5 linked regions of the Macaca fascicularis genome follow. The protein of the gene in region 5 interacts with the protein of the main gene of each other region in a biochemical or structural test. Links are inferred from orthologs where the notes say so. Each region holds a gene or a part of one and is shown on either strand. Other genes may lie near its edges. The genes, in order: CCNE1, SREBF1, KLF5, NOTCH1 and FBXW7.

Region 1 (5,673 bases), on a different chromosome or scaffold from region 5:
GAGGAAGGGGAAAAAAAAAACAAAAACAAACCTTATAATGACTTTGGTGAAGGACAATATAGGACAATATTAAATGCAAAGTTCCTGAACTCAACAATTGATGTTTTTTTGTTAGTTTGTCTTTTGTTTTGAGACAGTGTCTTATTCTGTCGCCCAGGCTGGAGTGTAGTGTTGTGATCTTGGTTCACTGCAACCTCCGAGTCCCAGGCTCAAGTGATTCTCTTGCTTCAGCCTCCCGAGTAGCTGGAATTATAGGCACCCGCCACCATGCCCAGCTAATTTTTGTATTTTTAGTAGAAATGGTGTTTCACCATGTTGACCAGGCTGGTCTTGAACTCCTGGCCTCAAGTGATCCGCCTGCTTCAGCCTCCCAAAGTGATGGGATTAAGGGATGAGCCACTGTGCCCAGCCTAACAACTGATAGGTTTTAAATGAGGGGCCCTCTGGCCTGTCCCACCCTCACCTGCCTAGGATGTGAATCATCCCCCTGCCCGCACATCCCCGTGGAGCAGGCCACCTGCCTGTTAGTCACTCAGTAGCACACAGGTTATCAGATGGACTGTCACAGCACAGCAGTGCTGGTGTTCAAGCAAGCAGCCCTTATTTTACTGAATAATGGCCCCACAGGGCAAGAGTACTGAGGCTGGCTATTTGGAAACGCCAAAGAGAAGCCGTGAAGTGCTTTCTTTAAGTGAAAATGTGAAAGTAGAGGATTAAAAACATAGCATAGCTAGAGCTCAGTACTATCTGTGGCTTCAGGCGTCTCCTGCGGGTCTTGGGATGTACTCCCAAGGATGAGGGGTACTTTTGTAGTTACATATTCATTTTCTACATGTTTTCATGAAACGGGTCTGCCTGAGATGTCCGTCTTTTCAGAAGAAAAGCCCACTTCTCATCCATTCAAGTCTTACAAGGTTGTCTAGGAAGTTTCCCTTAATCAGAAACTATGAGCTACCGCAGTTCATCCCAGTAAGAGATATACTACCCATAAAATCTCTCTTATGTTTAACCATTATCTATTAAATTTTGTTATACTTGTTCTTTTGATTAACTGTTAAAGAGAAACAAAATAGTGTGGATCAAGATAAGATTTGAGTTGGGTGCTGTAGCGCACACCTGTAATCCCAGCATTTTGGGAGGCCGAGGCAGGCGGACCCCTTGATCCCAGGAGTTGGAGACTAGCTGGGGCAACACAATGAGACACCATCTCAACAAAAAATAAAAAATTGGCAGGGTGTAGTAGCTCATGCCTGTAGTCCCAACGACTGGGGAGGCTGAGGCGGGAGGACTGCTTGAGCCCGGGAATTGGAGCCTGTAGTGAGCCATGACTGCACCACTACACTCCAGCTTAGGTGACAGAGCAACTCTGTCTCAAAATACAGAAGCCACTCCAATGGTCCAAATATCTTTAAAAATGTGCTAAAAAAAATTGAGACAGAGTCCCATGATCACCCAGGCTGGAGTGCAGTGGCACTATCATGGCTCACTGCAGGCTCCAACTCCCAGGCTCAAGCAATCCTCCCATTTCAGCCTCCGCAGTAGTTGTGACTACAAGCGTGAGCCACTATACCCTGACAATTTTTTATGTTTTGTTGAAATGGGGTCTTGAGGGCCGGGTGCAGTGGCTCACACCTGTAATCCCGGCACTTTGGGAGACCAAGGCAGGCGGATCACCTGAGGTCAGGAGTTCAAGACCAGCCTGACCAACATGGAGAAACCCTGTCTCTACTAAAAATACAAAATTAGTCAGGCATGGTGGCGTATGCCTGTAATCCCAGCTACTCAGGAGCTGGAGGCAAGAGAATCGCTTGAAACCGGGAGGCAGAGGTTGCAGTGAGCCAAGATCGCACCATTGCACTCCAGCCTGGGCAACAAGAGCGAAACTCTGTCTCAAAAAAAAAAAAAGAAAAGACATGGGGTCTTGCCATGTTGCCCAGGTTAGTCTCCAACTCCTGGGCTCAAGGGATCCTTCTGCCTTGGCCTCCCAAAGTGCTGGGATTAGAGACATGACCCACCGTGCCCAGCCAGGATTTGAACAGTATATTTTATTAGAATAAATGGGAATGGTGGCAAAAGGGAATGGATTCCAAGAAGTTAAAAAGGAACAATGTCAGACCTGCTTAAGATAAACTTGTTCACACGTGTTTATAATTTATGACAGTAGCTATCAAAGAGGTGATATATGCGTTCCAGTGGGTACATTTAAAAGCAGTTTAGCCAGGCACGATGGCTCAGGCCTGTAATCCCAGCACTCTGGGAGGCCAAGGTGGGTGGATCACGAGGTCAGGAGTTCAAGACCAGCCTGGCCAACATGGTGAAACCCTGTCTCTTCTAAAAATACAAAAATTAGCCGGGTGTGGTGGCGTGTGCCAGTAATCCCAGCTACTCAGGAGGCTGAGGCCAGGAGAATCGCTTGAACCTGTGAGGCAGAGGTTGCAGTGAGCCGAGATTTTGCCACTGCACTCCAGCCTCGGTGACAAAGACTCCATCTCAAAAAAAAGAAAAGAAGAAAAAAAAAAAGATTTCAGAAATTCTTGCTAAGAATACAAGCAAAACAGAAAGACCACCTCAGTAAATATACCATATAGCTTCAGAGATGGAGAACGTGTCAAGGGAATCAACCACACAGAGATCCTAATACACAAAAATGCTGGAAATGCTCAGTGCTTTCATGAAGGCAACAGGAAGACTCAAGCTCACCTCCATTAACCAATCCAGAAGAATTGCTCGCATTTTTGGCTGCAGAAGAGGGTGTTGCTCAAGAAAGTGCTGATCCCTTAAGTATGTCTTTTCCTTGTTTAACATGATTTTCCAGACTTCCTCTCTATTTGCCCAGCTACAACAAAACACACAACAAAAATGAGGCCCACACAGGGGTGAGAATGCGTCCATGCTATGAGGGATAAAGGGGAGTATGGAGTAAGAGACCTGGAAGCCACGTGGTAGAGTCGGCACTGACCTCAGTACAGGCAGCGGGGAGCCTCTGGATGGTGCAATAATCCGAGGCTTGCACGTTGAGTTTGGGTAAACCCGCTCATCATCTTCTTTGTCAGGTGTGGGGATCAGGGAGCAGGGGTCTGCACAGCCTGTATTATTGTCCCAAGGCTGTAAATGAAAAATACACAGGAGAGGTGAGATAAGATGCAAACAGCTCCTACATTACCCAAAAACACTGCAAAGTCACTTGCAACTCAGTAAGATACTGGGCATGACCTCTGAAAGTGCTTCCAAAAAGATACATTATGGTATTTTTTGTCACAACTCAAAGATTTGTTTTTTAGTGAGTACACGCATCTACTAAAATTTCACAAAAGGAAAACAGAATTGTCAATAAAAATATTTACATAAGCACTTCACGTTCATGAGTATAAAAGATCAAAAATGTAAATTGGCTGCCATATATATTAAAGTCCCCTCAGTTTAAAACAAAAACCCACCAAATGTGACATTTTTTTTTGTTGCGCGACTAGCCAAATATGTTAAACAATAAAGGACTTTCTCTTTTCCTTAACTCGAAACAAACAGAATGACTATCCACCTAGTTAAAACCAAATCAAGTGATGGTCACAGGTCATACTATTAAGTCTACAGGAAGCTAGTCTAGATACTCCTTAAGACCTCTGAATCTCGAATCTTGCAGGCTAATTCAAATACCCAATAAAATAAGGAACTATTATAAACCAAAGCACTATGCTTTTCTTTTAAAGGTTTCAGATATGTATTCAGTTTTCAGTATCTGAAAAACACTAAAGTTCATTTAGAATATTTTCTTAAGCTATTCCTACTCTAAGATGTCTGATTTTTAAAGTTATAAAATGGTAACTCTGCTGAAGATATTAGGCAGGTAACAATCCCACTAGCATGGAAGCCGTATGAAAGTCTGAGACTTGGCTTTTTTTTTTTTTTTTTGAGACAGGGTCTCCCTCTGTTGCCCAGGCTGGAGTGCAGTGGTGCGATCTCAGCTCACTGCAACCTCTGCCTCCTGGGGTCAAGCCATCCTCCTGCCTCAGCCTCCTAAGCAGCTAGGACTTCAGGCATGCACAAGCACGCCCAGCTAATTTTTGTATTTTTTGGTAGAGATGGGTTTTCGCCATGTTGTCCAGGCTGGTCTTGAACTCCTGGACTCAAGCCGTCCTCCTGCCTTGTCTTCCAAAAGTGCTGAGATTACAGGCCTGAACCACCGCACTTGGCTTTTTTTTTTTTTTTTTAAGCAGAGACCACCAGCCTGGCGGTGGTCTCTGCTTTAAAAAAATAGACAACTGGGGTCACTATAATGAACGTGGAAACTTGGGCTCTAAGTGCTACCTCAAAGACACAGCACAGAGTGGCGACCACAGCACATTGGTCGCCTTCAGAGGAAGCCCAAACACTTTCAGTTGGAAGAGCAAAGCCAGATAAAGCTCTTCCCCACCCAATGTACAAAGAATTGGGCATGCAAATTATCCATGACAGCTCCTGCCAACAGCTGTGCGAGCAAGGCTGCTTCCTTTCAGTTCTAGTACCATGTGCGGGTGGCATTTCCTTGACTCAAAAAGGGTCACATTACAACCGCTGTAAGTTGTTCTTCATTCAGGAAGAATGAATTCTAGTCTTGAAGGCATAATGCTGGGTGCCGCCCTCTAAGGCCAGCTGGCTGGCACATCTGAGAGCAGGCCTTTGGACATAGATGAGTCCAGCAGCAGTTCCCAAACAAACTAGGTGAACCATCAGCAGACAAACGGTTTCCAAAGTTGGCCTTTTAGGGACCAGTGGATGAGGTAGAATAATTAAGTCTATGTCCTTAACTTGAGTGTACACCAAGTTTCAAAGCAAGATCTGTCTGACTTTATTTAGGAAGGAATGAGAGCAACGGGATTCCTAACCACTCCATCTCCTCACACCACTTTTTTCCTTATGTAGGATTATTTTCTGAAAAGTAACAGTCCAGGATTCCACTTCAATAGAAAGACTGAGTCTCGTGCAAAAAAATTAAATAACATAATGGACGTGTTAAGTAGGTCTTAGATAAAAGGGTATTCTTTTCATTAAGAACAGGCTAAGATGAAAATTAAAAAACCTCCATGTGGTCTTGATGAAGCAGTTACACAAGAGTTTAGCACAATGGCTCCAAGTAGCTCAAAACTGTCGTACTGGGGTGAACTATGGTAACTCCAGAGAAAAGTTCTGTATGTGAACAGGGAAAAAGGTTCTGTGGTACCCCCAAGTTCTAGTTTCATGAATCCACAAAGAAATAACAAAGATACTGCTCCATACATAGACAGCTAATGTTTAAGCTATCTACTCTACAAAATGTACAGAAATCTGTTGCCTTTAATCTCTGGATAACCACGAAAATGCCTTCTAGTGGGAAACGGTACAGCTATTCTGGCAGCACAGCTATCCACGCTGTGGCCAGGGGACAGAGCCACAATCCGTCCCAGGCACCCTCGTCACTACTCAGGCTATCCTTGAGAACAGACATGCTTCTAAAACTCCAAGAATGTAACAGGGACGGCCCTGCTTCATCTTCAGCTGGAAGTTGCTTTTTTATTCAAAACACAGCTGGGAAAATAAACAATCCTGAATTTCACAAAGTCAGAATTCATTTTATAATACCTAAAAAATCAACTTGCTTGATTTGAACGTACTTTTTTTTTAAGGGGAGAAAAAAAAAAACAAAAAACTTGGGATATG
Region 2 (5,797 bases), on a different chromosome or scaffold from region 5:
AGAGTGAAGACCAGTCTCCCACGGACCTTGCATTTTCTGACAGTGAGTGGGTGGCGGGGGGGTGAGGCGGGGCGGGGCGGGGGGGTGGGGTGGGGCTGGGGGCTTATCCCTGCAGCTCTCTGCAGAGGCTCGCTGGGTAAGAGTTACACGGGATGTTGCAGTGGTTACCAAGGGGGATCCAGGCCAAGCTAGGGCTCAGCCTGGGGTCTGGCCCCAGCCTGTGTCCACTGTGACAGCCCATTTCCCTCCCCTACAGCGCTTCTTCCTGAGCAGTGCCCGCCAGGCCTGCCTGGCACAGAGTGGGTCTGTGCCTCCTGCCATGCAGTGGCTCTGCCACCCCGTGGGCCACCGTTTCTTCGTGGATGGGGACTGGGCCGTGCTCAGTACCCCACGGGAGACCCTGTACAGCTTGGCTGGTAACCCAGGTGCTCTCTTACCCTTTCCCTGTCCCCTCTCCTGTCCCATGTCCTCATTCCTGTTCTGTCCCTTGTCGCCTGAATCTCTGGCTGTCTCTGGCCACCCCAGTCCTTCTCCCTGCCATGGGTTATTGATGTGGGGGCTGTAGGAAGGGAAAGGCCTGAGTGAGTCTCGGTTCTCACTGGGGCTTTCAGAAGCACATGCAGGGATTGAAGGGCAGGTGGCTGATTGGAGAGGTGACCCCAGGCAGCACCGCTGTGGAGTAAGGAAGCGGAGCCAACAGTGGTGCCTTCTCAAGTCGGTTTTCCTTTGGGAGCAGCGTAGGGCAGGCCTCAGTGTTGTCCTGGCCAACGCTGGTGCTGGCGTAGTTATGTCCACCTGTTTTCCCCTGTCCTTGGCACGGGCTGCACCCAGGGGCATGCCGGCACTTCCCAGTGACCCTGAGTGTGGCCCCAGCCCACCCAGGCAAAAGCCCTTAGCTTGGAGAAAAGGGTGGGGCCCTGCTCCCCACCCCACTCACCTCCTCTTCTCCACAGTGGACCCCCTGGCCCAGGTGACTCAGCTATTCCGGGAACATCTCTTGGAGCGAGCACTGAACTGTGTGACCCAACCCAACCCCAGCCCTGGGTCAGCTGATGGGGACAAGTAAGTGTCATTGTGCCCTCCTCCACGCAAGGCTCCTCTAGCAGGATTCTGGGAATAGCTCTGTCCTCAACCCTGCGGAGAGGGCCAGAGCTAGGCTACCATGCGTGCCATGCGCCCTTCGTTCCTCTCTGGGTTTCCTCTCCCCACCAGCCTATGGGAGGAGACAGTGGCAGTTTGCAGAGCCAGGGGTCAGGCTGTACTCTAGTGGGCAGGTGGGGAGGGCCAGCACCCTCCTAGGACCCCTGCCATCTGTCCCGACAGCCAACCCTCTCCTGCCACAGGGAATTCTCGGATGCCCTCGGGTACCTGCAGCTGCTGAACAGCTGTTCTGATGCCGCGGGGGCTCCTGCCTGCAGCTTCTCCATCAGTTCCAGCATGGCCACCACCACCGGTGAGCCCCCGGCCCCTGCCCTGGCTCCCTTCTCAGTCCCCGTGCAGCGTGGCTGAGGGTTCAGGGGACCCTCCCTCTTTTGCAGGCATAGACCCAGTGGCCAAGTGGTGGGCCTCTCTGACAGCTGTGGTGATCCACTGGCTGCGGCGGGACGAGGAGGCGGCTGAGCGGCTGTGCCCACTGGTGGAGCACCTGCCCCGGGTGCTGCAGGAGTCTGAGTGAGTGCACGGCAGGTTCCTCCTGCCTGGCCCTGGGCCCAGCCTCCCTCATCCCCTGGGCACTGTACCTCCACTCAGCCTTTGTGCAGGAGGGGTCACCACCTTTTATCCCCAGGGAACTCGAGCCAGGGCAGTGGGAGGCACTCAGCCAGGGCTTGTGGACTGGTCTGATTGGCACTCTTCTGCCCTGGTCCCAACAGGAGACCCCTGCCCAGGGCGGCTCTGCACTCCTTCAAGGCTGCCCGGGCCCTGCTGGGCTGTGCCAAGGCAGAGTCTGGTCCAGCCAGCCTGACCATCTGTGAGAAGGCCAGTGGGTACCTGCAGGACAGCCTGGCTACCACACCAGCCAGCAGCTCCATTGATAAGGTGAGGGGTGGGGTCAGGGGCCTGGCAGGGCTGGGGGACTCAGCCTTCCATTCCCTGGTCCTTCTCCCCAGGCCCCAGGGACTGCAGAAGACCATGGGGTTAGCCCAAGCAGCACAGGATGAGGGGTCCAGCAGATAGGAGATCCAGCAGTCCTTGCTTTTTGGCTAAGGCTTCTGTCTAGAGGAGAGGGGTTGCCCTTATCTGGCCTCAGTTTCCCCATTCTGGGAGGATGGGGGTGGATGGTGTGGTAGGATCCCTTTGGAGGCCCTGCATCAGGAGGGCTGGACAGCTGCTCCTGGGCCGGTGGCGGGCGTGGGGGCCAAGAGAGGCGGGCGGCCCCGCGGTGCATTGCTGTTGCATTGCACGTGTGTGAGGCGGGTGCAGTGCCTCGGCAGTGCAGCCCGGAGCCGGCCCCTGGCACCGCGGGCCCCCATCCTGCCCCTCCCAGAGTTGGAGCCCTGGTGACCCTGCCCTGCCCGCCACCCCCAGGCCGTGCAGCTGTTCCTGTGTGACCTGCTCCTTGTGGTACGCACCAGCCTGTGGCGGCAGCAGCAGCCCCCGGCCCCGGCCCCAGCAGCCCAGGGCACCAGCAGCGGGCCTCAGGCTTCTGCCCTTGAGCTGCGTGGCTTCCAACGGGACCTGAGCAGCTTGAGGCGGCTGGCACAGAGCTTCCGGCCTGCCATGCGGAGGGTGAGTGCCCAATGGCTCCCTGTCCTCAAGATGGGGAGTCAGGCAGTGGTGGAGAGGGACAGCCCTGAGCCTCCACTCTCCTGGCCCCCAGGTGTTTCTACATGAGGCCACGGCCCGGCTGATGGCGGGGGCCAGCCCCACACGGACACACCAACTCCTCGACCGCAGTCTCAGGCGGCGGGCAGGCCCCGGTGGCAAAGGAGGTGAGGGGCAGCTGCTGACCAGGGATGTGCTGTCTGCTCAGCAGGGAAGGGCGCACATGGGGTGTGATACCAAGGGAGGCTGCGTGTGTGTCAGACGGGACAGACAGGCCTGGCACAGTGGCTCACGCCTAGCACTTTGGGAGGCCCAGTCAGGAGGATAGCTTGAGCCCAGGAGTTGGAGGCCGCAGTGAGCCTGGGTGACAGGGAGAGTCCCTATCTCAAGGAAAAAAACAAAAAAGCATCTTCTTGGTGGTTACCTGATGACAATTCCTTTCACAAGAAATCAGTGGGGCAACTGTCATTTGTGGGATATATGACTACACGTGCGTGACTCAGTCTGTGGACTTTATGTGTGGGCTGAGACTAGGGTGGGGAGAGGGGAACGTGTATACTAGGTATGGGCGGCTGGTGCCTTTGCTTGTGTGTGGGCGGGGCTCCCGCGGGGGCGTGGCCAGCCTGAGCCCCATCCCTGACACATCCTTGTGTGCGCAGGCGCGGTGGCGGAGCTGGAGCCGCGGCCCACGAGGCGGGAGCACGCGGAGGCCTTGCTGCTAGCCTCCTGCTACCTGCCCCCTGGCTTCCTGTCGGCGCCCGGGCAGCGCGTGGGCATGCTGGCTGAGGCGGCGCGCACGCTCGAGAAGCTTGGCGATCGCCGGCTGCTGCACGACTGTCAGCAGATGCTCATGCGCCTGGGCGGTGGGACCACTGTCACTTCCAGCTAGAACCCGTATCCCCGGCCTCAGCACCCCTGTCTCTAGCCACTTCTGTCCCGTGCAGCTTCTGTCCTGTGTCGAAGCCCTGAAGGCCGAAGGCAGTGCGAGAGACCCTGGCCTCCACGGTTCACCCGCGGCTGCGCTGTCCCTTCGGGGTGGAAGGCCAGAGGGGCGCAAACCCGACCCTAATACCGGCGGCCATGATGGTGCTGACCTCTGGTGGCCGATCGGGGCACTGCAGGAGCCGAGCTGTTCGGGGCGGGGGGGCCCTCCTTGCTCTGCAGGCACCTTAGTGGCTTTTTTCCTCCTGTTTAGAGGGAAGAGATGGGTACATTTCCCTGCGCTGACGGAAGCCAACTTGGCTTTCCCGGACTGCAAGCGGGGCTCTAGCCCCAGAGGCCTCTCTCTCCCTTGTGGGAAGACGTGTACATAGTGTAGGTCAGCGTGCTCAGCCTCCTGACCTGAGGCTCCCGTGCTACTTTGCCTTTTGCAAACTTTATTTTCATAGATTGAGAAGTTTTGTACAGAGAATTAAAAATGAAATTATTTATAATCTGGGTTTTGTGTCTTCAGCTGATTGATGTGCTGACCAGTGAGCGTGCTTGGGCCCTCCCCCAGCACCTTGGAAAAGGCTTCCCTCCCCTCTCCGGCCACGAGGGACACAACTTAGCTCTTTCCGATGTTAGTAGGGGGAGTGGGGAGGGCTGGCTGTATGGCCTCCAGCTGACCTGTCCCCCTGTTCCCAGGGCACGTTTGGGCTGTCAACCCTTAGGGCCTCGATGGGGTCAGTTGTCCCTTCTCTCCTCCCAGCTGTGTCCCCATCAGGTCCCTGGGTGGCATGGGAGGAGGATGGACTGTCCTCCAGGACCTGTTTGTTGTATGACAGGAGCTACAGCTTGGGTCTCCCTGCAAGTCTGGCACGTCTCACCTGCCCCCATCCTAGCCCCTGGTCCTTTCACAGCAAAGAAGCCTCCTCCCTCCCGACCCGCCGCCACACTGGAGAGGGGGCACAGGCGCGGAGAGGTTTCCTGTTCTGTGAAGGGCGGGCTCCCTGACTCCATTCATGCCCTCCTGAGCCCCTCCCTTCATTCCCATTCCCCAACCTAAACACTGGCCCGGCTCCCAGCTGAATCTGGTCGGAATCCACGGGCTGCAGATTTTCCAAAACAATCGTTGTATCTTTATTGACTTTTTTTTTTTTTTTTCTGAATGCAATGACTGTTTTTTACTCTTAAGGAAAATAAACATCTTTTAGAAACAGCTCGATACACACAATCTTCAGTGTGAAGCAATATACTAATAAGAACACTAGTCGTCTTAACATTTACAGTCTTCATATATATTATATATATGTATATGTATACATATATATACACTATATAACGAGGCCAGATATAATACACACGTTTACCATTTTACAGTCATATGTACAGGAAGTTGCTAGGGCGGCCCTGGGCTGGGGGCTGCATCAGGCCTATCGAAGCGTGGACAGAGCTGAGGACACGGACGGACAGGCAGACGGACTGGCAGGGACTGGCCCGGGCCGGTGGTGGCTGCGTGGGCAAGGGGCGTCGTGGTAGCCCCCTACCCGGCAAAGGCCCGGTTGGGGCTCTGCTGCGGGCGCACGACGCACGGCGGCGACACACGGGAGAAGCGAGCATGTTCCCAACATATATACATTCTATGTAACATATATATAGAGGGGTACACAGGTTTTGTACACGAATCTAGCGCTGTCCCTGCTCCCGTGCAGAGTGGGCGCGGCGGTCCCTGGTGGTGCACAACGGTCGCGCGTCCGCCGGAGGTGCGTTCTGGCCGCTTCTTGGGTTTTGCGCTCCCAGGCTGGGCTCCAGGGGTGGGGTGGACTGGAAAGGGGACGAACAGAGGCCAAAGGGTGTCCCAGTCCCGCCCACAACCTCTCGGAGAGCCCGCAACCCCTAACTGAGCACAGCCCAGGTCTACCCCGGCTTTGCCCGAAACGCACGACAGATCTGGCAAAGGCTGGGCGGGAAGGCCCCTGGAAGCGTTCCGCACGGTTTGTTCCAAAGGCTCAGGTCCCTCCAGCGCCTGCCTAGCCCGCTCTTAGAAAGGCTTCCTTTCTCCCCCGCCTAGTCCACGGAGCCAGGAGCCGCCCTCCGCCTCTTCCAGAACTGT
Region 3 (6,322 bases), on a different chromosome or scaffold from region 5:
AAACTAGCTTTCCCAGTAACTTGTAGATCTATTCCATGTATTGTCTTCAATTTACACTTTGGGCCACGTATCTCATTCAAAACTGAGCATATGCTCACATGCCATCAAAACCATTCTTAAATCTATCCTGTAGACAGTCTTGTACCTACCATCACGCTAGCTGCCTACAACCTCCACTTCACTACCAAACCTTATTTTCCCCTACCCTACTTTAATCTCTTTCTGGGGCACTTAATTTAGAATTAAAAACTGCAATTTATTCAATTGCCATTTTAAAGTCACACACACACACACACAACCTATTGATGCTTCAACCAGGTAAGAGCACATACCAGGGTAATCGCAGTAGTGGATGCGTCGTTTCTCCAAATCGGGATTACTCCTTCTATTGTATCTGACAGGTTGGATGTTTTGTGAGTTAACTGGCAGGGTGGTGGGTAAATTTGGATTGTGAATTGCCAGTTTAGAAGCAATTGTAGCAGCATAGGATGGAGGTGGGGTTAAATTCTGGAGCATCTCTGCTTGTCTATCTGGACTTCCAGGCTCTGAGCTTGGTGGTGACGGGGGAAAATAAGTGGCCTGTTGTGGAAGAAACTGACTTGGCATTGTGTATGTGCAAGGGGGCATGCCCTGGAATTGTTTCACTGCAGTCTGCGGAACAGCAGAGGTGTGTGTGTTAAGGCCTGCCATGGCAGCTGACATAGAAACATTAAGAGTGTCCATTGCTGCTGTCTGGTTTGTAGAACTGGGCATATCTAGATCCGGTGTATTCAGTAGCTGGTACAGGTGGCCCTGCTGGGGAGGGACAGAAAGATGAAGATCTGGTGTAGGAAGTTCTTGTTTGATGAAAATATTGTTCACCTCTGGAGCTGCGGTCTGGTGTGAGCTGAATATACTGGTGAACTCAGGGAGGGCCTGGGTCGGGGCCGGAGGAGGGGCAGTCGTTTCACTCTGGTGGCTGAAAATGGCAACAGGTTCTGTCTTGATGTGTGTTACGCACGGTCTCTGGGATTTGTAGAGGCCAGTTCTCAGGTGAGTGATGTCAGGGAGGAAGACGTTCATGTTGATACTGTAAGGTAACCCTTCAGTGTCAGTGAAGAACTGGTCTACGACTGAGGCACTGTCTCGTCTATACTTTTTATGCTCTGGAATTATAGGAACTGGAGGAAGCTGAGGTGTCAGATACTTCTCCATTTCACATCTTGTCTAAAAAAGAAGAGATACAAACATGCATAATCCACCTGATTCACCATCTTGGGAAGGACAAACAATCGGCGCCTACTAAAAATTACCCCAATCCCTGTATAAGGTACTCGGGCAAACTCCTCAGTGTTGCTTATAAACATATCAGGCTTATTTTGTCGATTGTGTAATAATTGGTTGACCAAAACCTTATGAAACTGTGTAACTGGTAAAACTGCTCCCCCAATCACCCCCAAAAGTGAAAGACGCAAATCAAGAAAAAAAAAGAAAGCAAACTGAAAACATTCCTTTCTGATGCAATAACAAGGTATCACCCCTGTACAAGCAGGATTCCCTGCCCCATTACACAGTTAAATTTGCAATTAGAGTACACTATTGAAATGTTGCCAAACTACCTCAATTCTGTTTAAGTCATAAACATTAAAAAGCGTGTTTTTTGTTTTGTTTTGTTTTTTTACAGAAAAAACTATGCAAACCTTTAAAATATTGCAAAGGTTTATTTGGCTAGACACTTCAAAAGTAATATAAAAAATATTCTTTGGCTACTTCTGTGTCTTTTCTTGTTTACAGTTCAATGAGAAATACAATGTTCTAAGCAAAACCTTGTATCCACTGAAACAAAACAATTTCACATTCAATATTTGACCTAAAGGTTGATTTTAATCAGCAGATCCTGTAATTGGTTAATATGATAATGAAATGTTCCTATTCATACCCCTATCTAAAACAGATCTTTAATTACCTAGGGGAAAATCACTCCCTCGCTAGAGTGCTGCTAAGGAGCCCGTGGGTGGGGAGGCTGCTGTATCCCTAGCACAGTCATCAGCAAAACATTTATCATGTCCTCCTCAGTGGGCCAATGCTACATTCCCCCCGACTCTGTAAAAAGCTCAGTCATCCCTTATCTTCTTGTGCCTCCAGAGCAGAAAATTGACAAACTGAAATAACCAAATACTTTTCAAACGATGATCTCTTTTCTAGGCTTTTAAATCAGCTTGTAACAAGTCGCCTCAAGCTTTTTCCAGCTATCTTCTCTCCTAGTATAACTTAAGCCTACATTTTTTAACACTGAAAAAGGAAATTTCGAAAGATAAGATAACCAACTAGATGGAATGGCGCATAGTATTAGCTTGGCACCTTAATCGGTAAATAAGACAGTCATTTTCTGCTACTACTTCATTTCAAATGCGTTTCATCTCGGACCTTGGTGTGGATCCGGACGGGGTTTCCCGGATAGACACGATTTAAAAATAAAAATTAACGCTCACGTCATGTGAGTCACATCTCTGACAAATGCCACTGCCCTCTCACAGCAGGACCCTGACAGACCCCACGGAGTAGGCGCTGGGTAGCAAATATGCGATACGCCAAAGGGCTACTAAATGAAGTGTCTTGAAATAAACTGAACTAAACCCTTTCGTGCACTGCGCTCCCGCGGCGGTTAGTGGTTTCTGATTTTAGCTCTTCCAGCTGTTTGCATGTGGGTATGTTTCCAATTTTTTTTTCCTTGGGACAGGCTAAAAGTCCCGGGAAGTTTTTTTCTGGGCTATATGACTCCCTGCGTGGGCGAAAGAAACAGGCGGTTGCTCTAATTCGGCTGCTGGGCAAGTGTAAAAGCCAACTGCCAGCTTTCAACGCGGCTCCGGGAGGAAATTTACGCGCACACGAAGAAAACAACACCCCCGGTCTTTTTTTTTTTTTTAAGGAAAAATAAGCGCTCCAACACAACCTTAGCTTTCCTAACTCTCATTTTCCAAACGCGGCCCGCGATCGCTTCTAAAGCAGGTTGAGCCACCGGCTATGAAATCTTGAGCAACCTCTCCCCAGCACCCCAATTTGCGTTTCTACTTAACCCGAGACGATGGGGATGGGGGAGCTCCAATGCCTTGGCACTGGGGAGCGGTAAAGGTGAAGACGTAATTTAAGTAAAACTGAGCGTAAGGTACAAGGTTTCGTCCCTCAAGTGTAAGAAAAACAACTAAGGTGCGTGTGAGCACCCAGTTCCCTCCCTCTGATCTCTCCCAGGCCAAGCCGCCGGGGCAGATTCCCCTCTATCCTTCCCCCCTCCCGACCCCTCATTTACTCTCAGCGAAACGCGGGTCCCCGGCCAGGCGTGCAGGGCGGGGCTGCCCACCCAGCACCGGCTCCGGTGCGCCCCGACGCACGCCCCAGCCTGGAGCGGCCCCTGTCGCCCGCGCGTCGCAGCGACGGGACACGCCCGGGCCCGGGAGTGCAGTGGTGGGAGGGGAGCGGCTCTTCCTACCTGGACTAGCTCCTCGGGAGGCAGCCGCGGGCCGGCAGCGGGCGGCTGGGCCGGCTGCGGGGCCTGCGCGGGCGCGGGCTGCGCCTGCGAGCGGTGGTGCGCGTGCTTCAGCTCCTCGCCAGGGAAGAGCGCCGCGTCGCGGGCCGGATTTGCGGCGCCCAGCACGGGCTTGAGCTGCGCGAACACGGGCTCGTCCTGCGGCGCCGGCGGCTGGGGCACGGGTCCCAGGCGGGCGCTCATGCTCAGCACCCGCGTAGCCATGGGCACTCGGGAGCGCGGCTCCGGGCGCGGGTCGGGCGCACTTCCCACCTCGCCCACCCTGGCTTGGGGCGGCGAGCTCGGTGCGGGGCTGCGGTCGGAGGAGGGGAGAGGTTTCGGGTGGACCCCTCAGACAGCGGCAGGCAGTTTTCGAAGGCGCGCACGAAAAGCAAAACTCTTCCGCTCTTCCACACGTAAACGCCAACGTCCTACGGGCGGCCACTTTCTCCCGCCCCGCCCCACTGCGCTCTCAGGCTCTCCAGAGCCCGCTCCCGCCACCGCCGACCTCAGCGAGAGAACTGCGAGCGCGCGTACCTGCCCCACGACTACTGACACTTGACGCCCGCCTCTATTTCACCCAACTCCGGGGGGGCGGGGCCCGCTCGCCTGATTGGCAGCGCCGCCGCGAATCCCGAGGCCTCAAGGCCGGCCGGGCCTGAGCGGCCAGCCTATGAGCAGGGAGAGAGGCAGCCAGGGCCCCGCCTCCGCCGGCCCGACCGCACCCCTCTCGGGCCACGAGCTTCGCGCGCAGGGCGGCCGCGCAGTTTGTACACAACTTCTCTGACAGATTGGGCTGGCGGAGCTGGGGGCGGAGGGAAGTAGCGGAGCGGGTGGAATCTGGGAAGAGGGGGAATTAGGGTGGAGACGCGGAGGGAGAGCTCTTCGCACTGTTCTCTGCCAGGATTAGGAAGAAAAAGAGTATTGCACGTCTTAGGTGTTGTGCAAGGACCTGAAACTCAAAAGCTGAAACCCAGAAGGCAGCTAGGTGGGGGCGCTGAGGCTTTTAGAGATTTGTCTAATGAGTGTGTACTTTTAAATATCCGAAATATACTTCTCTTTAGCAGAAAACTAGGGGCGGTGTGATAAACAAATTTAAAACAGCTCTTGTCTCATGTATCTTTAGCAGTGACTGTATCCATTTAACAAGGCAAATTCAGAATGCCTGAATAAAAGATTTGATGGGAAGCGTTATTTTCAAATCCTCGCATAAAAGCCTGAGTTTTTCCCACTCCTTCAGGATTTTAATTGCTAGACGTTTTCCCACACATTTGTACCTCCTATCCGTGTGTGGGGAGGAGGGCTTGGGCCACATGAATTTTGAAGTTTCTAATATTTAAGCCATGTTGATTCTAGCCGAAGCATGGAATCTAATTTAAGCACGACTGGCTCAAATGTGTACTTAAATAGACATTACATCTTTGACTTATTTTTGCTAGCACTGTATGTTAAAAAAATGGACTTTAATATTTACAAAACAGAAACCTAGCACATTTACCTCACATTGTGGCACCTTTTCCTACGAAGAGACAACCAGAAAGCCACAAACATAGACACATAGACACTGAAAACTGGGAATCCAAATTTGTTGGAAGGTAATAGCCAAATATATTACCGTCCATTTACTATGTTGTTATAATGGGAGGGTGAATTTTTGCCAGGAATCACCTAAGGAAACCACTTCCCTTAATCCTTAATGTTCTTGTACATGATTTTATCTGGCTTATTGGGAGGACGGAACAATAAACTGCAATAAAAATGCTTGTGATATTACTACAAATGTACATATGTTGACAGCACAGTATACCATTAGACAGTTTTACATATACGACAGCCTACTCATCGCTTCAGAGTAAAACAGCTTTAAAAAAAAAAGTATTTGAAAAAAACGTTCACTTCAAAGAGCATATCTATCAAAGGTATGGATCTCATTTTCAATGGGTAGAAAATTAATAAGCACATAAAGAAATGTATTTATTATTAGAACATATAAAATTATGCTGTAAACTAGGTTTTTCTCCTTTTCCTTCTCTTCCTGTTGATACATGATTCATTTCTACTAACTGTGACCACTGCCTTCAGAGAATGACTGATGACTACTTTCATGTTACCAAAGTATTATTTAATAAGTGCTTTTGCAAGTTTTTCTCTAACCAAACAGCCCCATGCTGTCCACCTTCATCTTTAAAAAGCTGTCTTGCTTTTCTCTAATATCAAACCGATCATGTAATTAATTAGCTTAGAAACAGATTATAGAATTAGGATGGGATTTAATGTAACTCTTTTAAAAAATTGAGCTCTGAAAGATTGTTAGTTACTTAATTCTGATAACATCAAACCTAAATGTGATGTAGATAATTCTTAATAGAACTTTTGTGCTCTTGTAACTTTAAGCTAAATCTAACTTAGATTTAATACATTTGGTAGCTGTATCTTAATGTGCTTTTAAACCTATCTAGACCTTTCCTTTTGTCTTTCTTTTTACGAGAGCTTCAGTGGCCTGGTATTTCAATCTAAGTTTTCACTGCAATAAAATCCCTGTATTTTACTGGAAATGCTTCCATAATTTCACACCACTTTTTAACATGCTTTCATTTACAAAAGCTTTTTCATTGCAAAAAAAGAAAAAAACACACACAACTAATATTGTTTTTAATATTTTTAGTCTTGTTGTTTCATATTTCCACTTTTCATAATGAATATAGATATGAAGCTAGCGTTGGGGTTCTTATAGTAACTGAATATATTCCTTTTTGCTCCAATACAGTAGCACCTTTTAAAATTTCATTTCAGGCATAAAGATTCATGAAATAGGGCTGC
Region 4 (6,334 bases), on a different chromosome or scaffold from region 5:
GAAGCAACAGGCCCCCAATTTTCCCAGCACGGCATTCCTCCCACCCTCCCAAAGTCCTCTGCAGGAGCAAGAAGCTTCTCCCAGAGACCTGAATGGGTGGAGGCAAAGTCCGAGCCGGGAGCGCGGTGGCGGGGAACGGGGTTATACATTCTGGGAAGCCACGCATAATTAATCACACGGCATTAATCCGCCTCCCCCAACAATAGCTGCTGCACTTCCCCTGGATCCCAGCTGTCGGTCTCTGAATGAAAGGAAACAAGATTTAGGGCATCAAGCGTCCGTGCGGCTTCTGCAGGGGGAGAAGGGGGCCCCAAAAAGCAAAAAAAAAAAAAAAAAAAAAAAGTAGTGTGCGCATTCATTAGTGTCTGACAAAGACACAGCCGGCTTTGTCCATTAAACTGCTCACGGACCTGCTTAATTGGCTTCAGTTTGGGGAGGGTGGGGGCCGGGGAGGGAGGGGGGCTGCTGCCCACAGGCTGGGCAGTCGGCGCAGGCAGGAGCCGGGCTGGGGTTGTCAAGGGAATGGGACCTTCTACAGTTGGAATGAGGGCGCCCAGACTGGCTGGGGAGCCATTTCTTCATCTGTAGCTCCTGGGGGGCGGAGGGAACTCTTTTTCCAGCCACCAAACACCTCCTCATTATTCTCATCAGGGATGGACTCAAGTTGAAGGGCATCGGCCACAGCAGAACAGTTCCCCACCGCCGACTGGCACTCACAGGCAGGCAGGAGGGAGCGGTTCCCCGCGACTTCCCAGCCCCCTCCATGCCCATTTTACATCTGAGCCTGGCAGACCAAAAGGGCCACGGGATTTGGAGGTCAGAGTTTGCAGATGCCAGGACAGAAACCAGACTCAATAATTACCCCACACCCCGCGCCAAAAGATGAGTTCCGCCTTCTCTTCCCCAGCCCCAGCCTGAGGCCGGGAGGAGGGAGCTGGGGCAAACAAGAGCCCAAAGGCGGGTCCAATTGTGAAGGGTCAATTTCCTTCAAAGAGGCATCACCCGCCCAGAGGGGGCATCACCCACCCAGAGGTGGCATCACCTGTGCCCAAAGGAGGCATCACCCACCCAGAGGAGGCATCACCACCAGCCCAGGAGGCATCACCTGTGCCCAGGAGGTATCACCACCAGCCCAGAAGGCATCACCCACCCATAGAGGGTATCACCCACCCAGGGGGCATCACCTGTGCCCAGAGGAGGCATCACCCATCAAGAGGAGGCATCACCACCAGCCCAAGAGGCATCACCACCCACCCAGGAGGCATCACCCCTGGAGAGGAGGCATCACCTGTGCCCAGGAGGCATCATCACCTGCCCAGGAGGCATCACCCGCCCAGAGGAGGTGCCCCAAGTTGGCAGGGTGGTGGGGTCTGGGCTTCTCAGTAAATGGTCCAGAGCTTCCCCTGACAGATCAACTGTTTCTTGGGGACTTTAAGAAGAATTGGGGTCCTGGGACTCCCACTTAGTAACCCAGGAGCCTGAGGTGGCCCACAGAGGAGTGCCTAAGCCCCCAGCAGTCAGACCAGCTCCACACGCAGCATAATTGCTGGTGATTAAGTAATTGCCAGACTTTGTCCAATAAAAGTCAGCACGTGACCGTGCCCAGACTCTGGGCCATCTCCAGAAGACAATGCCCCAGGGTTCTGTCCCCAGCGCGGCTGCAGAAGGCAGGGGCTCTGCCCTCAACAAAGCAACAGGTCCCGCAGGGGTGGTACTCACACGCAGGCCTCCGTGCCATTGGCCGCTTCACACTTCCCGCCATTCAGGCAGGTCTCACCCGGCTGGGAGCACCGCGGGCCTAGGCAGGGGCAGGAGAAGAGAGGTCAGTCTCACCCGCACCACCGAAGGCCCTTGTTACCCTGGGGGTGGGACCCGCACCCAGCCGAGGGGCACTGTCCTCCCCCGACCCTGGACGCCTCTACTCAGTGACATGGGTTACCAGGGCAGGGGACCACAGGAAGCCCCACCATGAAACCAAAGGGCGTCAACATTCTGCCCAGAGTTCTGTAGTCAGAAATGGGGGGAAGAGGAGCAGCAGGGAACACGTCCTGCTTGAAGCAGGATGGGGTGGCCTGACGTGCCGCCTGGACGCAGTGGGGTAAAAGCAGAGACAAAGTGGGCTACTCTCCCAAGCGTTGCCCCCCACCCCAGAGGCTCACTGGGGAGGCTGGCAGAGCAGGGCCCCCCATCCAGCCGCCGAGATTGCCTCTGTTCAAACCCGTTCTGCAAGGGGGCAGAGCTGGACGGCGGGAAGGGGGGGTGGCCACACTCAGCTCCCGCCCGTGGGAAAATGCGACAGCTGCTCGCCCGCTGCCCCGCCCGCCAACAAAGCGCCGGCCTCCGCCTCAGAATCAGAGCGGCCCATTGTGGAGTCGGGGCCGCCTCCAGGGGCACCAGGACTGCACCCCGGAGACCCGGCCCCGCCTCCGCCGACACCCAATACCTGCTCCCGCGGGCGCGCATCTCTAGGGCAGCCCCCAAACACACACAGGAGGGGGATGAAGGTCCCCCATTCGGAAGGAATTCGACCCCATCTCGAGAAGGGATCAATTACTCAAGCCCCTCCCTCCCCATCTTAGGGGGCTGAGAAACGGGGGAGGGTGGTGTGACATAGAGCAGCACTTTCTGGAAGAGAACAAATAATTCTCGCCTGCAACTCCCGGAGAAAGAGTGGATTAATCACTCGATTCCCCAGAGACCCCCCTCGATGTGCGGCGAGGAGAGATGTAAGAGCCCCCCACCCGCGTCCCGCTCTCCACCCCCAAGCTCTCCAAACTTCAACTCTGCAAAGCAAAAGGAAAAGTTCAGTGCCCCCCGGCACGAAGGCTTCTTACGCAAACCCCTCCCCCAAACTGAGAGCTGGGCTGGGGGGCACCGGCGGGCGGGGCGACCGGGAGCCCGGGGCCCCAGCCGGGCCGCGCGGGTCAGTGAAGGCGAACGCGGCGCCGCGGAGCCCACACTCCGCGCCCCAACATCCGCCCCGGCGTGGGCCAGAAGCGAAGAAGAAAGAAGATAAATGGCCCGGAGAAGCAACAGGAAACCAAAACCGACTCTATTCAAATCGAAAAGTAGTAGGCAGCCCGCCCGCCCGGCCGACCGGCGGCAAGCCCCACGCGCGGCGGGTGAAGGGCGGGCCCGGGTAGGGCCTCCGGGACCCCAGCACCTCACGCCGGCCTCCAAACTCGGCTCCAGGCACGGGCGGCGCGAGTCCGCCTCCACGGGGGGATCGAGGGGGAGGGTCGGTCCTCCCCCAGCCCGGGACTCCAAGAACCCCACGCCCCGGGCCGCCCGCTTTTCCCTCTCCACGCCCGCTCCCAGCCACGGGGCGCGTGCGCCGGGCGCTGCCGTTTCCAAAGAGCGCGGAAAGTGGGGGCTCGCGGGTGGGTGGGCGCCTACCTCGTGCGGCGAGCGCGGGCAGCAGCGCCAGGCAGAGCAGGGGCGCCAGGAGCGGCGGCATGCCTCCCCCCCGCTGCCCTCTGCGCCCGGACGGCGGCCTCCTGCGCTGGCCGGCGGGGCTGGGACGCACACGCGCGGCGGACGGTCCCGGGGCGGCGGCGGACAGTCCCGCCCTCTCTTCCCCGGCTGGCAGTTGGCGCTGTGCTCCCGCGGGCTCCCGGGCCCGTCTCCGCGCCTGGCTCGTTCCTTCGCTGCGCTCGCACCCGCGCCCCGCGCCCCGCGCCCCTGCGCTCCCTCCCGCGGCCGAGGCACTAGTGAGGCTCAGAGTCGAGGTGCGCTCCGCCCCCACCGGCCCCGCCCCGCCCGGCCCCGCCCCCACCGGTCCCCCCGCCCCCTCCGCGGCCGCCTCCTCCCGCGCGCTGGGTCCGCCTTTGCGCCTCCCCGAGCTGAGCCGCGCGTCCCGAGCCCAGCCTCTCCGGGGAGGAGGGACCCGGCGGCGCGGCGTGGGTCGGGAGCGGGCGCCTGGGACTACTTCTCGTTTGAAAGTTTTCAGAGGCCAAAAGTTTGAGCCGGGGCTGCGGAAGGATCCGGCTCTGGCCGTTGCCGCGCTCGGCGACAATTGGCGACGGAAGTTTGCATGTGAATAAGCGGAGGAGCCCGGGGTGGAGTAGGGAGGGCGAGGCCGCAGGCAGCTGTGTCCACCGTGCTCTGGGCCGGGCGGGGAGCAGCTGAGGCCACGTTGGGGGACCCCGGGCCCGGGGCAGGGCTTTGGGAGAAGTGGCCTAGCCGTGGGTGCGCCCCTAGCCCAGCGGCTTCTCTCCCTCCCCAGGGCCCCGTGGCTGCGGCTTTAGGCGTCCAGAGGATCGATCGCCGCCAGACACCCCTGGCCGTGATTGCCTGAGCACTTGACCGCGAGGGATGGGGGCGCAGCGGCCTCAGGGCAGGGAGTTTAGGGCGCCCCAAGGGAGCAGCCTGGACCAGTGCCTCGCGGACGTATTGCGCCCCGCTGCCCCAGGGGGGACCCGCGTCGACATGCTCCTCGGTCACCGTCCTCCTCCTGCCGGGGCGCCGCCTGCCTAAGGTGGCCCCAGAAAGCACAAACGGGTCGGGCGGATCTGCCGCTGGCGCCGGCGCAGCCCCTCCCACGTGCCCCTTCCGGCTGATTTATTTCTCCACCACGATGCCAGGCACGGGCACCCTGTGCCAAGCCTGGTTAAGCGCCAGGAGTCCAAAATGCCTGCCATAGTCCCTGCGCAAAGTTCACAGCCTCGTGCTGGGGACAAACAGCGCCCCCTCCCCACTCCAACACAGGGTGGTGAGTGCGATGGCAGAAGGCGCTGGGGGCTCTCCTGGAGTAGGAGGGCTATGCCTGCCCTGAAGGGAGACTGAAAGGCTGAGAGGGACCTAGGACTCGGGAGCCTGGGGGAGTGGCTGCAGAAACCGCAGAGCATGGTGGCAGAGGGAGGCACAGAAAGCGGGACAAATCTCACACCTGACTCCAGCGAGCCTTTCCTGGCACACCTCTTGCCAAGTGCTGAGCACTCTGGAAACAGCCAGTGCAGACGGCCTATCCCCCCCTGTAGCTGCTGCTGGGAGCCTCCCTCGCCTGCGTCCTCCCAGAAGCTGGCCTCACTTCTCCAGGCCTGGGGTAACATCTCGGGGTCAGCGCCCCAGGAGAGGAGGCGTCTGGAGGCAGCAGAGATGTTTATGTAACAGCAGCCCGGCAGCCTGGAGGAGCAGATTTTCCATAGAAGGAAGCGCGGGGCTGTGCGGCTCCCAGGCTGAGGACACTGCCCACCACGACGTCCTCTGCTCCCGGTAGGTGGGGGTGGGGTGGGGCACAGGGAGGCCTGAAGGCCTCAGGCCTAGTGTTGATCGGGTGCAACTGCCTGTGTGCCTCCGTTGGCATCTCTGCCTGTGAGCCCCAGGCCAGAAGTAATGGCCCATGTAGCCCTAGCTCGGGGGCCAGTCCTCAACATTTTTCGAAGGGGTGGCCTGGGAGGGGCGGCCTGGGAGGGGAGGGGATCCCTGGACGGGGGTTCTCCCCTGGTCTGCCCCAGCTGTGCTGACAGCATCTCCACCTGGGGCCTCTATCCTCTACCAGCAGAGAAGAGAGTGGCCCATTCGATGTCCACTCGTCAAGCCGCCCAGCAGCCAGGCACATTCATAAGCCCATGTTACAGATGGTGGAGCTGGGTGCACAGACCTGAGGGAAGCACAGGCCTCAGCCTCCCAGCTCCCAACGCCTGCACCACCCACAGCCGGGAGTACCCCATGGACAGCTGGTACTGAGGAGAAGCAAGGGATGAGGGGGATGGGCCTCCCCTCCCCACCAGCCTGGGAAGGGGGTGGGCCCCTGGCAAGTAGGTGAGAAGCTTCATTCACAAGTTGTCCGGGCTTCCCATTCCTCTTTTTCAGGCCAGTGGGTGTGGGCAGTGGGGGAAGGCAGGGGTCCTACCGAGCAGGAGTGTATCTGCTGCCCTGGGGCCTGGAGACCTTCTCCTGCAGGTCAGGGGGGCAGCACCGGGCAGCGGGCATTGCAGGGGCTAAAGAGAAACAAAAGAAAGCAGGTTGTGTGCAGGGCACCCCAGCCACTCCAGAAACCCAATCAGAAGGTGGGGGCTAGGACCCCAAGAAGCCGAATTGGGGTGCAGTGCTGCCAGGCCTCCCCCGTGGGAGTCACTTTGGGCTTCCTGTCCCAGCTTGTGGTGGGAGCTGGGACAAGGTTCCCGGGGTACCCCTGAGGGCAGGGGTACCCTGAATGAAGGGGCTGTTCCCAAGCTGGCCAAGGAGCCTGGAAGCAGAGGAGATGGGGCCGCAGAGCCGGGTTTGCAGAGGGGAGAGGCAGACGTGGCCCGCAGCCCCCTCTTCTTCAGAGGCCACGTGCAGGTGCTGAGGGGAGAGCAGCCTAGGCGTTGCACCCCAGGAGACTGAACTG
Region 5 (5,673 bases):
TGTAAAATAAAATTTCATTTATAAGAACCTAATGCTAATTAGGAAATGTGCCAAAAGATAACTGTATCTGGAATCAGAAGAGGTGGCATTTTGTTATCAAAAGCAAACTACATACCACCTCTTCTCCAGCTTCCCAGCTACACCAAAAGTCAACAACAATCTATCATTTCTATATAATAATGTGGCTACCTCTTTTCTCAATCAAATGGGGTTATTTAAATTAGAATATTATATTCATTAAGCTTCTGAGAATATCACAAACAGGTGCAGCCAATTTCCCTTCCTCCAAATTCATCACCTTTTCTAATTTAGCAAACATCTTGATCATATTGTCAATATTTCATGACATGGACAATATTCCTTCGACAAAGAAACAAATATCCTAAGAACAGAATTGACAGTACTAAGATTATGTACTAATTTGCTGAACATTAATGGGCAATAACTGATAAATAAACTATATAGGCTGTAGGAAATATTTTTACATTGAAAATGTTGCCTTTCTGGAAACAAAACAAGATTCATATTCTAAACTTCCTATTCATCTAGTCAATGATCTTAAAATATGGCAATGTTTTCAAGGATATGGGCTTGAAATGTAAACCAAAAAAAAAAAAAAATCTGTTTAGTCAACTTTACTTCCTTATGACTACAAATCAGTGGGCCTGGGACAGTAGAGTGCTTTATGCAGAAAGGATCTATTTCCACTTTGAATGGGGATGGAATCACAATTACATGGTCCATCAACTTTCAGCTATCAAAGCAAAGGGTCAGCTTTGGGCCATATTAATCCTCTGCAAAGGAGTTTCTTAAAATCCAGGTTACTCTCCTATGAGACTATTTAACCATTAATTAATATAGCAAACCTTAGAGTCCCAAATTGTCAGGTTACAAGACAAATATTTGTATTTAGAGGAGAAATAGATCACAGAAAATTGAAAGCATCTAAATAATTTTGAAATTTATATAAAAACAGCAGAATAATCTGGTTAATCTTTTTTGGATTGTACTGGAGCAGCAATTTGACAGCGATTATCTGAGTAAAACAACCTTATGATTCATCAGGAGAGCATTTAAGGGACAGATAAGAGATCTTACCTGTAATGAATAGACTCTATTAGTATGCCCCTGCAACGTGTGTAGACAGGTTTCAGTCTCTGGATCCCACACCTTTACCATAAAATCATATGCTCCACTAACAACCCTCCTGCCATCATATTGAACACAGCGGACTGCTGCAACATGACCCATCAAAACATGTAAACACTGGCCTGTCTCAATATCCCAAACCCTAAGAGTGGCATCTCGGGAACCGCTAACAACTCTGCAGAGGGAAAAACAGAAAAACAAAACAAAACAAAAAAACCCATGTTTAGAATTTTTAATAATATGAGAAAACATGATAGATTTAGTCAAGGTTTTTTAGCTTTCTTTTTCTTACACAGGAACAACTCTTGTCAAAAGAAATCCTATGTAAAACCTTGGTATATAAACATACAATAAGGGAATGGGAAGTTGGGAAGCCTAGAATGCTTCATGCTTGGTTCCCTGACCTGTGGACCTTAGTTCCAGCACCTCGAGGTTCTGTGGGACTGAGTTTGAAAACCACTGCACTGTATTTTTTTTTAAAAGCAGCAGTAGCTGCCTCTAAATATATACAATAAGATTTTGATTTTAGAAATAAAATGTTAATGTGGGCATGTGTATAAAATGTTAATGGGAGAACTCTAGGTGGTAGTAGTTTAAAGAATTTAAATTTCTTCTTTATGTTCTTTGCCATTTTCCAAAATTTCAATTATGGATGCATATATTCCCTTGTGATTAGGTAAAAAATTCAATAAAGGTTATACAACAAAACAAGTCAGGATTTGGAATTTAAACAGCTGCAGATTTGTGTTTACACTATACATTCCAGTAAAAATTAACCAGTTTTAGACATGTCCTCAAACACAGGCTGCTTATGCTTTTAATGATTAGATTTATAAATATGCAATAGGCTATAAAAATATTGATATGGATCTTTAAAGATATGTACATCTTTAAAAACAATGGCTATCCCTTAAACATGTGGTTCAACATTAGTGCTACACTCTCCTGAAAACCAGAGCAATATGCAAATACTGTAATCACTTTTGGATTACAAAACAAAGCTGAAAACTCAGGTATCCTTATGTCATTCATTCTGAAGAGATAAAAGAAATACCACAGTTTCCATATTGGAAAAATTAGAAAATTAAAGGGTTGAGATTTAAGTCAGAACACAATGGAACACAATGAAAACATATTACAAATCTGGTGTGAAATCTGCTTAATGTAATGGTTCTTAATATAAGAAGATGCTATAGACAGAATTAAAGGTAAAGACTGCCATTGATTCACTGTAAGGACCTTTCAGAGAGACCTTTTTTGACAAATGAGGCAGAAATCACACTTGTTTAACAGGGGTATGATGAAGATAATAGAAAGATAGGATTTTAATAGGAGGGCTTTACAGGAGGAGATAAAAGTAATAGCAAAGGCACTGAGAAGAAAAAGTCAAGCAATCTAGTTTGGCAGACACCATTTTGAAAACTGGATTGAGGATTTCTTCCTTAATTCGTTAGTCAACAGTAGGCTCACAAAGACTTAAGAACTGGGCAGTGACACTATCATAATTATAAAAGGACTGTATGTCAGCATATAAAATGTAAGATGACCAAGTTAGAAAGTTGTGACACTAGTTCAGAATGAGAGAACAAATTACTCACAGGCCTCAGCCTTTGCCTAGACTTAAGAGATAGGGTGGGTGTAAGGTGGGTAGGTAATTTAAAAAGGCTCAGACGCTTGAAGCCTGAATTTGTCCCACTTGCAGAAGTAAGAATATCAAAAAAAGAGAGAGAAAAAATGATTTCTGCTTGAACATGATGAGTCATCAAAGATACAGAACAATAAAAAGGATTAGAGAGTAGAGAGCTTCAAAGAGGAAGCCGACAACACTAGCAAATGAAAAAGGAAACTTACAGACAATCCCCAATTTTAAGACAAAACACTATGGCTTTCCTAGAATAGAACCATCTGAAGTCTAATAATTAAATGTAATTTAAGAGCTCATTGTCACTATTTCAGTAACTCTATACAGAAAGGGCCCAAATTCACAAATAATAGAGGAAGAAGTCCCAACCACGATAAGATTTTCCCTTACCTTTTTTCATGAAGATGCATACAACGCACTGTGGAAGTATGCCCATATAAGGTGTGTATACATTCTCCGGTCTCTGCATTCCACACTTTGAGAGTCCGATCGGTAGATCCACTAATGATGATGTTGTCTCTCATTTGTGATGACCATACTCCACCTGTATGTCCCACTAATGTTCTCAGACACTGGAAAAACACTTAAGATGATTACTTTTGGGTAGAAAGGAAAAGTGATTTAAATAAAATTTAATAGCTCATTAAAATTTGGAGTAAAGTTATTTATTCGTTTGGCTCTTCAGAAAATATTATTTTACACATCCGTATAAAATGATCCCATCACTATTTATAGTTTTGTTTATTCAAAGCATTATAAATTTATATAAGCACAAGCAATTGAAGAACATGTAGAAAGCAAACATATGATATAAAATATGATATAATAAAAAGGAAACATGATATGAAAGCAATTATGATAGCTCTGGTCTCTTTGATGAAAAAATACTGAAATTGCAACTGGGTTTCTTCCATGGGAATAGATTCAATGAAAGTATGCCAACAGTATTGGGTGTGGCTACATACCACATTTCATCTGAATCTGCCCCAGGGCAGTAGTTAGGAGCCAGTGAAGCTACTTCTAGACAAGTAAAGACAGACATTAAGGCCCTGAAATAAATCCCAAACTAATATTACACTATGGAAATATAAAGCTGCTTTAAAAAATTTTAACATCTGACTTGGCGTATTTATAAGATACTTGCCAAGAAGCACCATGGTAAAAGACATTTTAAAAGACATGGATTTTTTTTTGTTTTCATACTCTCTTCTGTTATTTTTTAGGTGGCAATTACTTAATTCATGAAAATATTCTCTACTGGACAGATACAAATAAATATTTGCTAGAGAATCATTAAGGTATGATATAGTACACGGTCAAGCTGATTGCTTGGGCTACTTTTTTCTTCAAACTTACATTTAAATGCCTAGTCCACTCTCATCTCACAAGGGTTTGAGATAAGTATAAATTAACATGATTTATTAAGTTCTAAACAATAGGTAGGTTATCAACAAAGCAGTTCATAAGGAAAAATAAATACCCCTCAACCATACTTCTGAAAAACATTACAAAGTAATGAGGTATAACTTAGACAGTAAATAAAAGTGGGGAAAAATTGAGCCAAGAAAAATATAAAGCACCCTTGAAAATGTTAAAATATCTGTCACAAACTATGTAAATGAAAAAAAATTAATGAAACCTCTATCATGAGAAACATCATTATCCTCATGCCATTGATTTTCATAAATATGGGGGAAAAAGCTAAGTTACGAGCTCTGATATTTGCTATCCCAATAATTGAGAATCAAGAATGAATTCTGATTTTCTTTTTTCCAGTTGCTACTTGCAATGCTATACACAAAATTGTGACTTTGTGAAGTGTAGGAAGAGTAAACTTACTTTGCCCGTGACTGCTGACCAAACTTTTAGAGTGTTGTCATCAGAACCACTAACTATTCGGTTACCACAAAACTGTAAGCATGTGATCACATGATCATCATGTCCTTTCAGCACCTATAAGATAGATGTACAGATTAGAAATATGTTAATTAAATTATGTTCTTTAAAACACTGGTGAAGAGAAAAATGAAGGCACAAACTGGAACGGTAATTTGTAGTCTATCTCTAGAATTATAATTTATATAAAATATAAAGCATTATTTTTCCTGGCTGACGAATTCAGAATTAAACATTTTATTGTTTCCATAGTCTATTATTTATACTCAAAACATCAACTATTAAAGTTTTACTGCATCAAGACCTCATGAAGATGGTTCGAACACCAATGTATTTGACAATAATCTATTTTATCTGTTCAAACCAGAAGAATATGCCTCTAATTTTTACAACTTTGACACACAAGAACAAAATACGCATCTATTAACCACAAAGAGTAACAATTATTAGCATTCTCAAAACAAAAAAAATCTATAACATATACATATTAGTATCACAATGTCTCCCCAAACTGTTTTTTTCCAGTTGTAAAAATATGCTCAATAATTTAAAGTGTTCTTAACATTCTTTATATATTTGAAACGTTTTAATACAGAAAACCAGAATTATGCTTCAATTTATAAAAATAAGACACACGAAAGCCACCAATACCAAAACACAGACACTCCTCAAAAAATCATGTTTGGACTATGTGATCAGAGAAGGCAGCAAATTCTCAGGTAGAATGTGTATGACACAGTACAATTCAACAGGATATTGAGAGATTTTCATTTAAGTAAGATAAAAAGATACTCAATTTAACTTATCTTTTGTTCAAGCACAATTAGTTGTCAGATTAATTAGCAATAAAAGAATACTGTCAGTAATACTTTCAGTTATTTTAAAATATATGGTTTTCTTTCCACAGAAGAGAAGTGTCAAATTATACAGTTTGCCAAGAAGTGAAATAGTACACTAGGTACTAACACTGATTAATGGTTTCTGTT

The links.
Region 1: of the proteins of FBXW7 (region 5) and CCNE1, one has a biochemical effect on the other in vitro, tested with the Homo sapiens proteins (18 studies listed by BioGRID and IntAct, with this or other methods). The link is inferred for Macaca fascicularis from reciprocal best matches to the Homo sapiens genes FBXW7 and CCNE1.
Region 2: the proteins of FBXW7 (region 5) and SREBF1 form a complex in vitro, tested with the Homo sapiens proteins (3 studies listed by BioGRID, with this or other methods). The link is inferred for Macaca fascicularis from reciprocal best matches to the Homo sapiens genes FBXW7 and SREBF1.
Region 3: the proteins of FBXW7 (region 5) and KLF5 form a complex in vitro, tested with the Homo sapiens proteins (2 studies listed by BioGRID, with this or other methods). The link is inferred for Macaca fascicularis from reciprocal best matches to the Homo sapiens genes FBXW7 and KLF5.
Region 4: the proteins of FBXW7 (region 5) and NOTCH1 form a complex in vitro, tested with the Homo sapiens proteins (2 studies listed by BioGRID and IntAct, with this or other methods). The link is inferred for Macaca fascicularis from reciprocal best matches to the Homo sapiens genes FBXW7 and NOTCH1.

What each region holds. Positions count from the first base shown.
Region 1 is NC_088393.1:37,078,072-37,083,744, reverse strand, and holds part of CCNE1 (G1/S-specific cyclin-E1), read right to left. Parts: intron 3,106-5,673; coding exon 2,960-3,105; intron 2,837-2,959; coding exon 2,701-2,836; intron 1-2,700. UniProt on the Homo sapiens protein: Essential for the control of the cell cycle at the G1/S (start) transition.
Region 2 is NC_088390.1:17,915,349-17,921,145, reverse strand, and holds the end of SREBF1 (sterol regulatory element-binding protein 1), read left to right. Parts: coding exon 1-42; intron 43-256; coding exon 257-425; intron 426-953; coding exon 954-1,062; intron 1,063-1,343; coding exon 1,344-1,453; intron 1,454-1,538; coding exon 1,539-1,671; intron 1,672-1,871; coding exon 1,872-2,037; intron 2,038-2,526; coding exon 2,527-2,727; intron 2,728-2,818; coding exon 2,819-2,930; intron 2,931-3,422; coding exon 3,423-3,652; 3' UTR 3,653-4,196; downstream 4,197-5,797.
Region 3 is NC_088391.1:64,024,795-64,031,116, reverse strand, and holds the start of KLF5 (Krueppel-like factor 5), read right to left. Parts: upstream 4,053-6,322; 5' UTR 3,728-4,052; coding exon 3,467-3,727; intron 1,207-3,466; coding exon 333-1,206; intron 1-332. UniProt on the Homo sapiens protein: Transcription factor that binds to GC box promoter elements. Activates the transcription of these genes.
Region 4 is NC_088389.1:2,813,288-2,819,621, reverse strand, and holds the start of NOTCH1 (neurogenic locus notch homolog protein 1), read right to left. Parts: upstream 3,713-6,334; 5' UTR 3,458-3,712; coding exon 3,397-3,457; intron 1,799-3,396; coding exon 1,720-1,798; intron 1-1,719. UniProt on the Homo sapiens protein: Functions as a receptor for membrane-bound ligands Jagged-1 (JAG1), Jagged-2 (JAG2) and Delta-1 (DLL1) to regulate cell-fate determination.
Region 5 is NC_088379.1:157,242,527-157,248,199, forward strand, and holds part of FBXW7 (F-box/WD repeat-containing protein 7), read right to left. Parts: intron 4,745-5,673; coding exon 4,631-4,744; intron 3,364-4,630; coding exon 3,182-3,363; intron 1,325-3,181; coding exon 1,099-1,324; intron 1-1,098. UniProt on the Homo sapiens protein: Substrate recognition component of a SCF (SKP1-CUL1-F-box protein) E3 ubiquitin-protein ligase complex which mediates the ubiquitination and subsequent proteasomal degradation of target proteins.